2 linked regions of the Alligator mississippiensis genome follow. The protein of the gene in region 2 binds, or shares a complex with, the protein of the main gene of each other region. Links are inferred from orthologs where the notes say so. Each region holds a gene or a part of one and is shown on either strand. Other genes may lie near its edges. The genes, in order: ADAP1 and KIF13B.

Evidence for each region.
Region 1: the proteins of KIF13B (region 2) and ADAP1 are in contact, whole or in part, in a crystal structure (PDB 3MDB), measured with the Homo sapiens proteins. The link is inferred for Alligator mississippiensis from reciprocal best matches to the Homo sapiens genes KIF13B and ADAP1. Residues at the interface, in NP_056069.2 of Homo sapiens: Val451, Asn452, Leu453, Asn454, Ala455, Asp456, Pro457, Leu463, Arg512, Phe514, Asn516, Gly517, Arg531, Leu533, Asn536, Asn537, Phe539; in NP_006860.2 of Homo sapiens: Trp137, Asn143, Gly144, Gln145, Phe146, Leu147, Pro186, Ala187, Lys188, Ile189, Gly190, His191, Pro192, His193, Tyr211, Glu213.

The regions. Positions count from the first base shown.
Region 1 is NC_081836.1:49,651,284-49,660,305, forward strand, and holds the start of ADAP1 (arf-GAP with dual PH domain-containing protein 1), read right to left. Parts: upstream 3,821-9,022; 5' UTR 3,659-3,820; coding exon 3,574-3,658; intron 1-3,573. UniProt on the Homo sapiens protein: GTPase-activating protein for the ADP ribosylation factor family. Binds phosphatidylinositol 3,4,5-trisphosphate (PtdInsP3) and inositol 1,3,4,5-tetrakisphosphate (InsP4). Regulates the incorporation of CD63 and CD9 into multivesicular bodies.
Region 2 is NC_081824.1:6,375,372-6,383,942, forward strand, and holds the start of KIF13B (kinesin-like protein KIF13B), read right to left. Parts: upstream 3,633-8,571; 5' UTR 3,580-3,632; coding exon 3,525-3,579; intron 1-3,524. UniProt on the Homo sapiens protein: Involved in reorganization of the cortical cytoskeleton. Regulates axon formation by promoting the formation of extra axons. May be functionally important for the intracellular trafficking of MAGUKs and associated protein complexes.

The sequences.
Region 1 (9,022 bases), on a different chromosome or scaffold from region 2:
GGTAGCAAACATTTGTGTCATTTGTTTGCCATGGACATCTGTTTGCTTAATGGCAGGAGAGCACTGGCAGCCCGGAGCTGCCCACACTCTCCAGCCACCCCAAGCAGGCACACCCAGATCTTCAGGGACCCGATCCTGCATGCCCTGGGAATTCCCCTGCAGGATTGGGCCCCTGAGGCCCGGGACGCACCTGCCCTAGTTTCTCTACTTGTAGATACAGACCCTGGGAGCTCCCTCTGTGCGTATGCACCACCTGCTGCACCCTGACTGCGGACAACTGGCACCGCTGTGTTGCCCAATGAAGCAGCTAAGCTGTGCACATCCCAGCACAGCTGATGTCGCTTCAAGGTTGATGCCCATTTGTAGCCCCTGACAGCAGCAGATGTGCAACCATGGGGCATCTTGCAAGTTTAAGCAAGCTCACATTTCCAAAACCCTTTCTGGCTGCAGAATATAGCAGGAAGCAGAAAACCTGCCCAGGAGGGGGTCAGACTCGATGATCTAATCGGTCCCTTCCGACCCCAACATCTATGCAACTCTGAAACCATAGGAACAGGTATTCTTCCCCTCTCATCCTGTGCTCACAAGCTCCTTATCCAGCCATGTGCATATTACAAGTCGAGGAAGATGCCATGGTCCCAGTGTCTGCGGGAGACAAGTTGCAAGTGGTTTCTGGCATGAGCTCTCTTCCCAAACCACAGTCGGTTATGAGCTCAGTACTCTCAGCTCCAGGGGGAATTCAGCTCAGTACCCCACAGGATCAAGCTCCGTAATGATTCCCCCTTCTGCTAATGTTTCTCGCCTTGCTGCTCTTTTTCCTTCTCACAGTCACATATCCTATAAGGATTAGATGAAATGTATACACCTATAGGTGGAAATTACCTTCTCCCACTGAACCGATAGCTCTGGTTTATCGCCGTGTACTAACAATTCTGATCAAAGGGATAAAGATGCACTGGTTTTATAAAGCAGATGGTTTTGATGCTACTAGATCTGCTGTAAACTACAGTGCCTCTCAGAAGGTATTGGCACTTTTTTCTTCCAATTTTTGTTTTTTCCTGCGTAAATCCATGTCAGAGAAGTTTGAACCAGCAGATACACAGGCGCACATCACGTACGAATGAAATAAGGTGGGGGGGGAATAGAAAAATCAAGAGGTTACTGCGCTTGCAGTTGGACCGGGAAGCTGTCTCCCGTGCTGAAAAACACCTTCAAGTCTATTGAAACGGACTTGCTCCTCCTCCCCGTTTCCTACCAGGTGTGACACACAATGCAACAAAGAGATGTGAACAGTGTTTGCTGGGATGCCTACTGTTTCAAGTAATAGTCTTATTTTAGTGGCTTTTTTCTGCTGTAATTAAGTCTCAAAGATTAGGATAATGCAGGTTCATTGTTTTGTAAAGCTGCGTGGAATTTGGGGAATTAAAACATTTGTCATCAAAATATGGCCTTTTTCTGCAAATGAAAGCTTTTTTGGGTGGGAAAAAAAGCACAATTAGGTTTTTACTAAAGATCTTTTCAAAACTGTTCAGCAAAAAAGTGTCAGTGAAAGATTTCACACATTCATTTCCCCCCCCCCCAGTCTTTGACTCTCTTCTTCTCTCTGTGTTTGGCTCCTGTCGTGTGGGTTAGCAGGATGCTACTTCCCCTGCCATGTGGTCCAGAAGGAGCAAATTGCCACTGTAGCCCGAGGAGAATGGATCTCCTCTCCTCCCTCTGAGGCTTTAAGCTCATTTACCATTTGGGAGGCTGTTCTTGCATTGTCACAGCCCAGTCACAAGGAGAGATTCAAGATAAGCTGCTCGTGACACCACCTTTTTGTGCAGAGCACCCAGCACAATGCCGCGTGGATATGGCACGGGGCCGGGGTGCCCTACCTCAGTGCAAACACAGTAACAACAACAGGGGAGAGAAGTTTTTGCCCCTAAATTGGCAACCGATTCCAATGCTCAACAATGCCCAAATGTTAAAGCAAACCATTTGACTCTGAAGACAAATGAATCAGCTGCTTTCTAAGCAAACCAAATGAAAGGGCTTTGAAAACAGTGGCTTTTTCTCTGCCTGCTTCTACTGTTGCCTCCATTATGAGAATCCCTTCAGCAAAGGCTCCTCTCCGCAGATGCTCACTGACTCATGCATCACCCCTTGTCTTTGAGAGCCAAGCAGATGCACACGCGCTCACACTCCCCCTCACCCATCTCTGACTGCTCGGGATGACAGTGGACTGCCCACTCCTCTGCCACCCGGGGCCACGTGGCTGCTCCATCACTGCTCTCATTGTCTGTATATTCCTTCTTCCCCTTTCTGTTCTCTCCTTTGCCGCTCCTCATCTTTTTACTTGCATTTTTTCGAGTAAACTCTTTCAGCTCGCTTTCCATCTCCACCTGCCCCGTGCCCTTGCTAAGAGAAACGTTAGATCCACAGAGCCCTCAGCGGAGCGCATGTCGGCTCAGACATGAATCAAGTCCCACAGGAGATACAGAGGTAGGCCCTCAATCTGCAGCCCCACAAACACGAGCCACTCCCATGGCCGGCTGCACTGGTGGCTACTCTGCGGTTGCGCTAGAGCCAAGGAACAAGTAGGCCAGGGTGATGCATATCAAGGTGTTCCCACCACCCCCTGTACCCGCTTTTTTCCCCCCACCATCTACTTTTAGGGTTAGAGAGAAACACTGAAATAGTCCCTGCTCCCATGTGCCCCAGTGTGAATTTGGTTTCCACACGTTACATGCAACGGACACGCATGTTATAACATAGCTGAAGAGCAGACAGAGAAGTCACCCCTGGAAATAGGCACAGGCAGGTGCAGACTGTTTCAGAGTCCCAGACAGAGGTGCATCTTACAAGACAGCTACTGAGCTTGCCCACAATAAAAATCAGAGACCGAACTAACAAGAATTGGTCACAAAAAGCTATAGCAGTGAGAAAGTGGGGTTAAGAGCAGGGGTAGGACCCAAGCACAGCACAGCACGGCTGGGGTTACGCTGAGCCGCAGAGAACCAGCGCTGAATCACAACGGCAGCACGCCTTGCCTTGCCTTGCGTTGCGAGACAGCGGCCCCTTGTCCACTCTGCTCGTCCCAGAGCCCTGCACGCCCGCGCCACCCAGACCCCAACCCCAGCACTTGGGAGCACGACAAGAAGCCCTCAACACGAGTCTCATTCCTCGCTCTCCGGTGCTCCCGGTCTCCTCGGGTGGGCTTTGTGCGACTCCGACACCACGGATCCGGACCGCCGGAGCCCATCGATCCCCCCTCGGGCAGGAGCGGCTTCGGGAAGGCTCCCATCGCCGCACAAGGAGGTGCCTCAAGCTGGTGGAGCCGGGAGACGGGGACAGCGCCCAGCCACACCACACGTGCCGGGTAGCCATCGGCATCACCCGCCAGGCACCTTTGGGCGATGCTGCGCAGGCACTTCTAGGCCCTTTCGGGCGGTCCAGCAGTCGGGGGCTGCCCTCCCTGCAGGGTCCCGAGGCAAGGCACCAGCACCCCCCTGGTGCCTCCCGCATCAGCAGCAGGGCCCGGCCCGGCCCCTCCGCACTGCAGCAGGTGCGGGGCGGGATGCGCGCACTCACCCGGGGCGCCGCAGTCGGCGCACAGCTGGTTGCCCGCTCGCTGCACCAGCTCGCGCAGCGCCTTCTTGCTCCGCTCCTTCGCCATGGGCTCGGCTGGGCTGGGCTGGGCTGCGCTTCTCCTCCTCCTCCGCCGCCGCCGTGCGCGGGGCTGGGCGGGGGCTGCTGGTGCAGAGGCGCCGCCGCAGGTGTCCCCGGCTGCCCCGCGCCAGGTGCCGCCCAGGGGGGCCCCGGGGGCTCCGCAGTCCCCGGCCCCGCCGCCCCGTGGCCGAGCCGCAGCCTGCAGCCGGCTCCCAGCGCCGCCCCGTCCCTCCTCCCGGCCCTGCTCCACCCAGCCGGTGACACCGGCCGCCTCGCCCCCGCCTGCCGCCTTCTCGCGGCTCCGCGTCGGGCTGCCCCAGGTCCTGACCCTGCCAGGGAAGTAAGGGAGCTCGGGGGGTGTTTCGTGCAGTGCTTCTGGTGTATTTTGAACCGCAGGAGAAGAAGGAAAATGCACCTCCCTCTTCTAAATGTTAGGTGGCACCTCGGGGTGTCTCGTGCCGGGCTGTTGGCAGAGGAGGCACAAAGGGCTTGTCCAGGGACACGGGGGCAAACCAGAGTGAGACCCAAGTGCTGAATCCTAGGAGAGTGCCCTAACGTCTCCAAGTGTTACTCAGCACGTTACATCACGATCCGGGGGCACGCCTGGTCACCAGAGCGCCCCAAGGGATGACAAGGTCCAATGGTCACAAACTCCTCCAAGACCGCTTCAGGCTGGACATATGGAAGAAGTTCTTTACTGCCCGAGCCCCCAAGGCCTGGGACAGACTGCCGCCAGAGGTGTGGTGCAAGCACCTACTCTGGACTCCTTTAAGAGACATTTGGATGCTTATCTTGCTAGGATCCCTTGACCCCAGCTGACTTCTTGCCCCTACTCCTCACTCAATGATCTCCCGAGGTCCCTTCCAGCCCTGATGTCTATGAATCAATTAAATGTATACGAGACGATGCCCATTGGACTCATTTTAACGTGTATTAGCGCATCATGCAAAAAGCATGCTAATGTGCACTAATCAGTCCAACGAGCATTAAGCATCACACAAAAAGCGTTCATTTGCGGTTATGTGCAGTAGCACTGATTACGGTGCATTAAGTTATTACAGGTACTAACACAATGCACGATACACGGCGCATTAATGAATGTGCAGACGTGCCCACTTATACCTAGATCAGGCCTAGCCTAGGAAGTTCCCATCCCAGGGCAGGTTTTAGTCCGTGCAGCTTTATCCTGAGCTGCCAGGGCTTTGTCTGGTTTTGTGAAGGTGCCTAAAATTGGCACTTTGTTCAGGCATCCCTCGTACCCCCTGTCCATGCCCCCAAGATTGAATCTCACCCTGCAAAGACATAGAGATGGGCCTCAGTCCTTAAAAATGGCAAGACAGTGTGGGAAGGAGTCCCACTGACTTCAAGCTAAAATTAGGCACGTGTGAAAGGTTTTTCAGAACCAGGATTCAAATAATCCAACAGAAAACCATCTCTCCATCCAAGTCGTGACCCTGATCCCAGAAGCAGGCCCATGCACATAGCTTTCTTATGCAAATAGTGCCCAAGTAGAGCTACCCAGGTGAGGAATGTTACACACCAGCATGAGTGCATTCATGGTCAGGCTTAACAGGTCTAAAATAACCCCTAAACTAGAAGATAATTTACATAATTATCTTGCCAGTTGTAATGACATACACAGGGTATAATGAGCTAATTTCTGATGCTTTGATATAGTTTAGACAGGAATGATGCAGCCTTGAGCAGGGGTTGGACTAGATGACCTTCTAGGGCTCTTCCAGCTCTATTTTTCTCTGATTCAATGACATTAAAGCAGTGTTTCCCAGCCCTTTGATGCCCGGGGATCGCTTTTTTTCTGGATTAAAATTGGTCCATGGGCCTGATCCTGCCAAGTGGGGCCAGCCTGGATTGGGCCCTATCTGGTCCATTTTTTTGCAGCACTCCCTTTGGGAATCAGTACATTAAAGTGATCCTGGGTGAGGCTCTGTACATCACCATAACTTGCTTTTTCCATTTATGGGCCGACGATCTCTAAACACCTGGCCATCATACTAAGCAAAGTCTATAGCTCTTACTTCCATAGGTAATCCTACTGCTTTTGACTTGAACTAGACCAGCTGCAATACCAGGGCCCCAGCTGGTACTCCAAACAGCTGGCTTGTGCCCAGTCAAATCTCTTTCCATTTACACTGATGCAAATGTAAAATAAACCTACTGCCTTCAGCAGCGTTATCCTGGACTTACACCAACAAATCGAAGAGCAAAACTGGCTCCAAAGCAGCATCTTAGCTTCAATCCTGGGAACACTTGAACACGATTAGCGGCATCAGTCAATGCAAGGCTAATACAGACACCAGCATTTGCAGGATAAGACCCTTATATGAAATCTAAGTTGGGATGTTACTTTTTCACCTGGAGACCCAGTCCCCTGGCCCAGCCTGCCCTCAGCAACATCTGTTGCATGAACACTCAACTCTCCCCACTACACCTGAGATAGCAAGTCATTAAGTTCTTATAAGAGGATAAAAAAGAGAGAGAGAGAGATTTTGTTTTAAAGTCCCTGTTTGGCTTTCCATCAAGGCTTATTGATTCTCTTAATTTTTTGTTCTCGTGGTTGCTAGGCAATCCCTGTTTCCCCTTTGCACATTGTAAGCCAGAGTTGCAGAGAGAAATTTATATCTTGTAATAAAATCAAATAGTACAGGGGCTGTAGCAGAAGAGAGCTGCTCAGAAAGGAGAGTGGGGGTGGGGACAGGGACCAGGACAGATCTGTCAGCAGAAACCATCATCATTTAATCAAATAATAGCTTAGAATTTGTAGCACGTCCCCCGCCAATAAAAACTTTACTGTAAAAATTGCAATCCAAACTTCAAATGAGAAGAACAAACAGTGCCTGTGAAAAGAGGGGCCCAATGTAGGAAAAGAGTGGGAGGTGGAAAAGTTATAACCATGGGGACCAAAGCTGGCACCGTTTGGAAGACAGAAATATTGTCTACAGAAAACGACTGGGATAAAATAAGGTGGGGTCTGACCTCATTTACATCATGTGGCTGTATGAATGGACTCTTGATTTAACACACTTTACAGATTCTAGGTTAACAACGTCTATTGGCCTCAGCTACTGCCACCCGGCATGGCTCCAGAACAGCCGGCGAGAGCATGCTACCCACCACCAGCTTCGAGTCTGGCCTTGGGCTGCTACGCGGAGTTATTCCTGATTTGTACCGACATAAATAAGAGCAGAAACAATGATACATGTTTGTGCATCGTGGAGGGGTGGGAAGGAATGAGCTGAGAGGCAGCGAGTTCCACCTGGCAAAGTCCATCACAGCCAGGGCCCGGTCACCTACCCACCTGTGCCACAATGATAGGACCCCTTATGGGTCAGGGAGTCCAGATCAGGCTTTGGTTTTATATGGCCAATGCCCACTGGAGTTGGTAGGAGCCTTTCAGCAAACATTGGGGCATGACCAGCTAGGGGCTCATTTGTGGTCCTAGGGAAGTCACTGGCGATCCCTCGCATCCGCCCTCAGCTGCACTGGAGACAGAGTCATCATCTCTGCTGTGTTATCAGACAAATGCTTTCTCCGCGCTGCTGAGTGGCATGTTCGGTTGGACTTCATTACATGATGTTAAACACGTTTAGCCCAGTGAATATTTTCTGAATCACAAAACAGTGGCCTTAGAAAGGGACACGACTAGCAGTATCCGGGGCCTGTGGAAATGCTGCCTGGTGTGACAAGAGTTATGCTTCAGGCAAGAAACTATGGAGGTTTCATAGGAAACTCTCTGTCTTTCTGGTGACATTTTGAATATGCTTGGTCAAAGCTACCAGGACGTCAGCTACTTTTCCCCGCTTGGCATCAGCTCTTTCCTCTCTTTGGTTCCTTTCTCTTTGCCTTCGTTTTACCATGGAGGGTCCGTTTACACTGTTAGGCAGTTAATTATGACCGCGTCAGCATTTTCATCTAAAAATTTCTATTTTTGGCCTTTCACTCGGCTATAAAAATCCCTTCCAAGACTGCAACTGGCAAGAGCCAAGGAGCAGTTGTTTTACAACATTGAAAAGTGTATTAGCTATTGGGAACCAGGCAAAGCACAACATGCAAAATTAAGGTTTCCTAAAGGCCGAACCTGTGATGAACGGAACAGAAACCAAGAGGAAGCACTAGCTATAATATGCTGATATTTGATACCAGTAATTCAGAGAAACTAACTGAAACTCTTAGACTCCAAAAGCTGAATGATTAAATCAATGCCACTAGTATGCAAATAAAAGAGGTACTAACCAATTCAAACACTAGTACCTTAGAGCGCACTCACACAAGGAAGTGGTGAATATTTCTACGCGCAGCCAATCCCCAACAGGAAGATCAATCATTCATGCCAACGGTAACTGTGTACTGGAGCATTATATAAAGCAAATAGGGCACCTTCACTTTCCTGAACAATACACAAGAGGCAGCCCAGCCCTCATGACTGCAGCTTTACTTATCAGCACATGGGGGGAAGCAGCGCCTCCAGTTTCTAAGTGAATCAATAGTAGTCACACTATGGTTTTCCTGTCAAAAATAAACTCAGCCCTGGAGGTTTTGCTCTTGAAGATATACTTGTGTATTGAGGTTTTCTATTTATGGCCATAGACAGAGCAGACATTTGAGAAGGCTGCGTTCTGGTGAACTTGCAAGACAAGGGGCCAGGAACTCCTATCCTGACCCCCCTCTATAACCTAGAGCAAGCCGCTTCACATCTTTGCCTCAGTTTTCCCCTCTGTAGAATGGAGTCAATAACCCCTAAGTGCATTGCCCATGTCCTCAGTCTGCTGCAATAAACTCCACCGGTGCTTGAAACTGGCTGCTTCCCCCTCACATGGCTTTGGAGGTCTGGATCTCAGGTCGGTGACTCCTACTAAATAGTCAAGGAGAAGTCACCAGAAGGAAAGTTATGGCTGCTGCTGCTTTTCACAGTCCCTCTACCACACACTCAGCAGGCTCTTTAAATGAATTAGCCCAGCCCAAGAGAAAGAAAGCACTATTTCCTCTGCTGCTGCTAGCCCTCTACCTCTACAGCCCACAATACCAGCTCAGACTCAGGCTGGGGAGGTGCGAGTTTTCCTTGATTTATCTCTTAGCCTGTATCGTGTCCCTGAAATGCCCTGGAGAAGGGGGATACAAAGGTGAAGGACTGGAAGGGAGGGCGGGGAAGGGGTTATATATCTGTATTCATCTGCTCCATGTCGTACATGCTATGAAAGCATGTCATCGGTGTGTGGATCCCGGGTACTTACCATACAGAGCTGGGGGTGGGTGATATGAAATACCACACTGGGGGCCAGTCTCTTGGCTGGTACAAACTGGCACAGCTCCATTTCAATTGCCGTTCACTTAAAAGGAGCTGTATTGGTTTATA
Region 2 (8,571 bases):
ATGCACCAACCGGTGATACCTACACCTGATATCATTCGGTATGGTAACTAAACTTAAGGAGGGCGGGAAACCTCTCCTAATTACAGAGCTATGGCAGTGCTGGGGCATTACTTATAATACCCATATTTTAAACAAACTTCAGTTGAAGTCTGCATGTCTTTTCAGCCTGCCAGCAATCCTTGTTTTAAGTCCAGGCAAACTTCTTTCAAGTTTTCCTGTTATATAACTAGGCGAGCACAATTCATCACCTTCTCAGTTTGAAGATGGTGTAATATGTCTGAGCGTGCTCCCCCAGAAGCGCGCAGGACTGCAAGATCTCACTGGAAACACAACTCAAACTGAAGATGTCATGTGATGGGGGTTTGCCCACATACAAGAATGAATGACCAAAAGCTAGCTAAAACACCCCTTGTGTAGTCTGCTGTTTGGTTTTACGCAAGACGAAGATCCTAGTAAGTAAAGATAGGTTATGGCGTGGCATATGGCATTTCTGCCAGCTTTTTTTGCTGCTAAATACGCTGTTCACTGTATGAAAACTTTATGCAAGTAAATAAGTCTCGCGAGATGCTGATCCAGCAAGGAGCGGACTGAAATAAATGTGCAACGACAGCAGCCGCCCAAGAAAAGGTTGGTTAGGGGTTACACTTGGCTCTTGATACAATGGTGTCCAGAAACCAGAGCCAGAAACCAAGATAATATTGTCTTATGCTGAACACATCTTATCCGGTGGTGACTGCAGAGATCAGGCAAACACGAAACCAAAAGATCCAGGTAATCCCTTAGAGCAGCAGGTTTCAGCATTGACAGGAGGACACTCACTTAGCTCACCAATTATTTCCTTTGGCAGCTTGCACAAGCCCTGATCACTCAGGACTGCTGTCCTCCTTGACAGTGCATTCAGCACCCCTACCGCCTTACAGCCCTGGGTGATGCAATTGTATTTTAAGCCAAACCAAAACTAAGACACCCTATTCTTTACCTATGCGTCACGACATCCTTTTCAACAGAGATCCCGGGTTGTTACTGTTTATACTATGACTTTTACTGTACATGCAATTAGTAATCAAGACCAAACACTACACTCTACCTAGCTATTCATGTTTTGGAAGGATAATCGTGAATAGCATCGACTGTGCTTTGAATATTGTCATCAGGGTGCAACACATGCCACTTCGTTTCTAAAATGAGTTGTGTCATAAGAACGAGATTACTCACGTGTATTATGTTTCTATATGCAAGCAAATCGTTTATGTTACTAGTATACATTTCATTGCAAATCACCGCAGTGGGAATGCAACCAACTCCAGAGTTCAGGGCACGGCACGCTGCGTAGCTGCTGCTATTGTGCAAAGATGCCGAGGGAAATTCCTTCCCTTACAAACAATGCCTTAGGTGGGAGCTTTGACACACAAGCGGATGAAGAAGCTTTTCTCTTACATTTAGCAAACAAGGTGGTGCTGGACTAATCTATCTTGAACGGATGAATGAAGGTCCAAATTAACGTGACATCTGAATACCTGGATTCCCCATTACCATGCATTTCCAACCTGACACAGATCAAGCCATTGCTCTGTCAGGACGGCAAGATAAACAACGGCGTGCTTTTGTTACGATTCCTCTAAAACCGACGCACCGACACAAGACAGCGTTTTGCGCCTGGAAAGGTGGCAGGCATTTTTGCACCTGGAAAGACGGGCACATTTTTGCACCTGGAAAGACAGCACGCATTTTTTGCGCCTGGAAAGATGGCACACACATTTGCCCCTGGAAAGATGGCATGCATTTTTGCGCCTGGAAAGACAGACGCATATTTGCACCTGGAAAGATAGCACGCATTTTTGTGCCTGGAAAGATGGACACATTTTTGCGCCTGGAAAGATGGACACATTTTTGCGCCTGGAAAGGCGGGCACATATTTGAGCCTGGAAAGATGGCACGCATTTTTGCGCCTGGAAAGATGGCCACATATTTGCGCCTGGAAAGATGGCACACACATTTGCCCCTGGAAAGATGGACACACATTTGCCCCTGGAAAGATGGCACGCATTTTTGCACCTGGAAAGATGGACACACATTTGCCCCTGGAAAGATGGCACGCATTTTTGCGCCTGGAAAGGCGGGCACATATTTGCGCCTGGAAAGATGGCACGCATTTTTGTGCCTGGAAAGATGGACACATTTTTGCGCCTGGAAAGATGGACACATTTTTGCGCCTGGAAAGGCGGGCACATATTTGAGCCTGGAAAGATGGCACGCATTTTTGCGCCTGGAAAGATGGCCACATATTTGCGCCTGGAAAGATGGCACACACATTTGCCCCTGGAAAGATGGACACACATTTGCCCCTGGAAAGATGGCACGCATTTTTGCACCTGGAAAGATGGACACACATTTGCCCCTGGAAAGATGGCACGCATTTTTGCGCCTGGAAAGGCGGGCACATATTTGCGCCTGGAAAGATGGCACGCATTTTTGTGCCTGGAAAGATGGACACATTTTTGCGCCTGGAAAGATGGACACATTTTTGCGCCTGGAAAGGCGGGCACATATTTGAGCCTGGAAAGATGGCACGCATTTTTGCGCCTGGAAAGATGGCCACATATTTGCGCCTGGAAAGATGGCACACACATTTGCTCCTGGAAAGATGGACACACATTTGCCCCTGGAAAGATGGCACGCATTTTTGCACCTGGAAAGATGGACACACATTTGCCCCTGGAAAGATGGCACGCATTTTTGCGCCTGGAAAGGCGGGCACATATTTGCGCCTGGAAAGATGGCACGCATTTTTGCGCCTGGAAAGATGGACACATTTTTGCGCCTGGAAAGATGGACACATTTTTGCGCCTGGAAAGATGGACACACATTTGCCCCTGGAAAGATGCCACGCACTCAATACCATTTATTTTCAGTTGCAAAAATGTGACGCTCCTGCCTTCCCTGGAGCTCAAGTCATCTCTTGCTACTTTCGCTTGACAGTGCACCTGCACGGGCGACGTCTCACATTTAACTGAATCACGCCACTTACTTCTACTCTGAAGTCCAGCTGGAACGTGTGCGGCGCACCACCTACCCCTAGACACCTTAAAAAACAAACGCCATCCACGTTGAAGAGACAGACTGCTATCCAAATCCTGCTTGGGGACGCTCTCTGGAGAACCCCGGGTGACCAGAAGGACGGACGCGAGGGCCGGCTCCGGACGGTTTTGGGCGACGGAGGAAACCAGTTTGCAGGCGCGTCCAGAAAGAAACCAGCCCGGGGACCGCTCGCGCTCAAACCGAAGGAGGGGGGGTGACGACACCCCGGTTTCGTGACTTCGCTGCACGCTCCTTTGGGGGGCAGAGGGGTTGGGGGGGGCAGAGTGACACGGGCACCCCTGGGGGGGCACTATGACACCCCTGAGGGGGACAGACTGACACAGGGGGGGCGGGGGGGGGCAGACAGGCACCCCTGGGGGGGCACAATGACACCCTGGGGGGGGGCAGACTGACAGGCACCCCTGGGGGGGGAGGGGGACACTCACCGCGTCGGTTTTGGGGGCGGACGCGCACCGCCACCTTCACTTTGGAGTCGCCCATCGCCGCCCGCTCCGCTCAACTCGGCGTGTCCCTCCTCGGTTTCCGTCCTGCCCAGGAGCGGGGCGGCGCTTCGCGCTCCACAGCGCCACAAAGGTCCCACCCCCGTCCCCGCCGTCGGGACTACACTCCCCAGCGCCGCCATGACGGGCGCGCGGCCTGCTGGGAGCTGTAGTCCACCCCCCTCCCCTAAGAGGGGTATGTGTGCATTGCATCCTGGGAGTTGTAGTACCCGCGGGTCTCCCCTCGCTCCGTGTGGCGCGTGGCATGCCGGAAGGTGTAGTTCCGTGCCTCCCTTCAGAGGTGGCGCGTTGCCTCGTGGGAGTTGTAGTCCCCTGACATTTTTTCTTGATTTTTTTTTTTTTTAAATCCCCAATTTTCTCTCCAAAAAGAAGAACCCCCCAATCCACATTGTTTTCCCCGTGGTTGCAATGCAACACCACTGATAGAGAGACATGTATATTGCAGTGTTTCATTTCAATCATGGGGGAAAAAAGGTGGATTTGGGGGTTACTTTATTTTTTTTTTTTTTTTACTAATTTTTTTGTTTTTTAAATCAGAGAAAACCAGGATCCCTGTGACGTGTTGCCCCAGGCCAGGGGAGCAGGGTCCCCTTCCCAGGCGTGGCAGCCTTGCAGGCTCCGCCACCGACTCGCCACATGGCCTTGGGCAAGTCCCCCGGCAGGTCGGCACCGAGGCAGGGAGCGGTGATCTGCGGATGCCGGGATGAGACCTGATAACAAAGTAACCCCAAATCCACCTTCCCCCCCCCCCCCCGGATTTAAATAAAACACCACTAATAGAGAGATGTGTATATAGAGGTGCTTCATTAAAATCATGGAAAAAGGTGGATTTGGGGTTACTTTTTTTTTTAAACCAAAAATTAGGGTTTTTTTTTTTTAAACCAGAGAAAACCAGGATCCCTGATGATAAGGATCCTGCTTGGTTTTGGGAGGAGGGCAGCGCTGGCTGCTCAGCGCATCCACACGAACCCTCATCCTGGATGAAACGAACCCGTTTCTTCCCCCCTCCGTCGGTGCCAGCCCACAAAACCTGGAACGCAGCAGCAGACAATCAAGCCTATAAATGAATCGGGTATCCGGGTTGTAGCCGTATTGGTCTAGAGGAAAAGGCACTCAGGACTCGTAGTCGAGATGATCTCTTTTATTAGACCAACAAGATTTTTGCAAAAAAAAAATCTTAAATTGCAAGCTTTTTTGACTCATTTGTGAAACCCTATGAATTATGAACTTCCATTTCTACCTAGGAGAACTTTTACAATCTCTTCTCTCATGCCGGAGGAAGGGTGTTTGTGCCAGAAAGCTTGCAATTAATTCAAGAAATGTTTGCAAAAATCTTGTTGGTCTAATAAAAGAGATCATTTCTCCTGAGTGCCTTGTAAATTAATCAGGCTCTCACAATGACAGAAAATGTTTTTTTTTCTTCTGATTTTGAAGGGTGGGGAGGCACTCAGACAATGAGGGGGACATTATCAGCAGATCCTTAGATAGACAGGGTCTTGTTCCCCGGTTCTGATAAGGAAAGATGGTTGTTGGAGGGGCTGGCAGAAGAGGGAGGTCAGGAGTTGTAGGGTCTGGCCTCATCGCTCAAGAGAGGATGGTAGGGAGGTGCAGGTTGCATGCATAGTGCAGAGTACTAAGAGTTGCTTGTATGATTATTTAGCAAGATTTATTTGTTTCAAACACAAACGCTCCACCTGCAGCCAGGAGCGACGTTTTCAAGGAGGTCTGCAAAGTTCCTACATTTCCCCATCAAATGTTCCCCACATAGAAGTCATGGGTAAAGCCGCCTTGTGATGGCAATAAAAACTCAGAGACGCAGAGTTGCATTTGGTTTTAAGGTCAGATTTACTGGGAGGTTGCCTCTTTCATCAGAGAGAACAGAAGCCTCCGGACTTTGATCCCGAAAGCTTGCAGAAAAGGACAATTTTCTTGTGATTTCCCAGGTATCATTTTGGAACCAAGAGTTCTAGTTTTCTGTATGTCTTCAGGTAAGATATAGTGCTTCACCTCTGACTTGAAAAGCAGCTTGTCCAAGTAGACCAAACACAAAAATATCATTAAAAAATAATAATTTTTTGCTATTTCTGTTGGTCTAATAAAAGGTATCAACTTTCAAGCTGGCATTTAACTGACACGGAGAATGGCATCCACAGTGATTCTCTACCAGGGCGCAGCAGTATCCCGGGTTACCTTGATAACCTTTCAACGGTGCCATGGGATGCCACATAAAGTTAGCACTGCTAGGGGTGCAAACACGATTCACGAGATAAACGCCGGCATTTCAAATATGGGAACTTTTTACCCTCTTTAATTTTCCCAGAGCCTGATGAAGGACATTTGAGCCCAAAAGCTTGCAGAAAAAGAGTCTACTATGGGTCCTGATTGCAGAAAAAGAATGTTTTTGCAGTTTCCTACTTGGTCTAATACAAGGTATCATTTCTGAACCAAGAGCTCTAGATTTGTGCATGGTGTTTCAAACAGGAATTCATTGTTTTAAAAGGATCTGCCCCGTCGTGGTCTTTCTGAGCTCTTCGCGACAGAAGAAGTGCTCTAGTGTTTTTCTGTAGTCAAAAACAAGTGAAAACGAAGAGCTGGCATTTTCCATGGGTGTCCTGAGCATAAAGACGAGCGTCTCAGATTTAACGATGTTGAGAACCACTGGTCTACCACCATCCTCTTCAGGTATTTGAAGACTGTTACCAGACCCCACCCCAGTCCTCTCTTTTTTCAAGCTAAATAACCCCAGTTCTTCCAGAAACAAAGATTAAATGAAAATGTCTTTACTGATCAAAGGGAACACCACATTCCCAGCCTGCTGTGTTCAGGTTAAAGCTAGTGTGTTGAAGACAGAAGCAGTTTGCCGCTTGGACTCAGATAAGCAGTGTGGCCCCCAATTTTGCAGAATGATCTATACTGATAGGTTTTACACTAGCAAAAAATGACTCTCCTGGTGTAAAGTGGGTCCTGCTCTGAATTTCTTTTTTCTTTCTCAGGTTCCCACCACACTTCACCAGCTTGGCCTGTCTGCAGTCAGATCCTACCACAACTATTAAGCACTATTACGTGTGATCCTATTCCACCCTGCGCAAGTCCCTGAAATGTCATTAATGCAGCAGCTCCTGTCATTCTATCCTCTTTGCCTTAAAACAGTCACAAAAAAGCAGCAAGAAGGAAGAGGACCCAACCACCTTTCTTTATTCACTGTATAACTGTTTTCCAAGGGTTTGAGCCAGATGGAATTAGGGTTACACCTGAGCACCCAAGTCCATTTGGTGTCTAATAGGTAGAGTAAACTCTGGCCCCTAGAGTCTGTTTTAATTACATTTAATGGGATTATCAAGATGGGCACATACTAAAGTTGATTGAGTTATTTGCTACTCCTACTCGTGATTTCAGATGTAAAATTACTGTATTTACTTGAGTTTTGTTTCCCTTTTAAACATGGGGGGAAAGCCCTTCCTCTTGGAGTCCAGCCCCAGCTCCAGCCCTGATTCGGGCTTGGGGTCCGAGCTGCATCTGCAGACCCCCCTGCTTTCTGCCTAGGGTGGCCATTGGTCCTGTTTTATACCAAACTGTCCTGTTTTTAAACCAACCCCTTGTCCCCTGTCCATTCCTGAATGAGGAACGGACTGCAAAAAGTCCTGTTTGTCAGTCCTTTAATAGAAATACATGTCAATCATTTCTCCTGAGGGCGGGCAGGTGGAGCGCTGCATTTGTATCTGCTGGAACGGCAGTGGGACTGGGAGGAGGCTCTTGTCACCGTCTTTGCACCCACAGAGCAGCCCAGTGAGTCACGGGGTGTCCTGCTGCATGTGGAGGGTCAGCTCTGGGCCTCTGGGCTCCTAGGAAGCTGGGCCAGCTCATTAAGCCATGATTTCTCTCCCGAGACAGGCAAACCTGTCCGCCTCTTGGGGAAGGAAGGGAAGGTCCTGCTAGCCACCTACTCCTGCCCACTGTGGCTGCTGCTCTCCCCACCCGCTGCTGCCTCCACTTGTCTCTCTCCCACCCCCACTTACCCTCTGGCCCTGCTTTGGTCTGGACACAGCAGTGGCAGCAGTTCTGGCTCTGACCCCGGCTCCAACCCAGTCCTGGGGCCAGGCCCAGAGCTGGCACTGCTGCAAATGTGGCTACCTGTCTGGGCAGGGGCTGGAGCCACCATGTGCTCTGTGCCCTGGCACCGAGTGGGGCCAGAGCCAGGACTGCGGGGAAGTGGTGGCAGGAGGGGCACAAGAGCTGCAGGGGGGTCAGTTGGCAGGGGGAAGGTGCTGGGTGGGGGGCAGACACCATGGGGGGTAAGTGCCATAGACTCTAACGATTGGGGGGTCATCTTCAATTCAAAGTCGTCTTAGATTCAGGTAAGTACAGCAGATTGCAACGTCTTTGGAGCACTGGTTGTGCCTTTTTATTACTGACAAGAATCCGTCATGTTTTGAATTCAGCGTGCATGAAAAATAACGACTGCACGCACTGCGATTTCAATTATTGTTGCTAAGATTTGGAGAGCCTGCCTATGGAAAAGTCTGCAGGATCATTCAGTCGGTCTCGCTGCAGAATTGTAATCGCCGGGGACTGGAGAGAAGCTGGTGATTCTTCTTTTGTATATTTTCTGCAGATTTTCCTAGAGACAACAAACCTTGGCATATTTGATATCCGGTCATTTCAGGGCATATCAAGATGAGGGACATTTTGCAAATGTTTTGAGTATTTACTTAGGTAGCGATGCCCATGGAAATTTCCCTCTTGTACACACGGTGCTGAATAATAAATGACACCTATTTGCATAAGAGGTTTGCACTGGTGCTGCTGCATCCCTGTCCTTACTTCAGTGTGAATTCCTAGACAAGCCCTTTACTTAACCTCGTCTTGTAGGGAATTGTCTGGAGCTCTACCAGCAAAAAAAAGGGGAAATATGTGAATTCTGCTCCTGTCTCCACCCTCCTCGCTGTAATGAAGTGCTGACTTCAAGGATTAG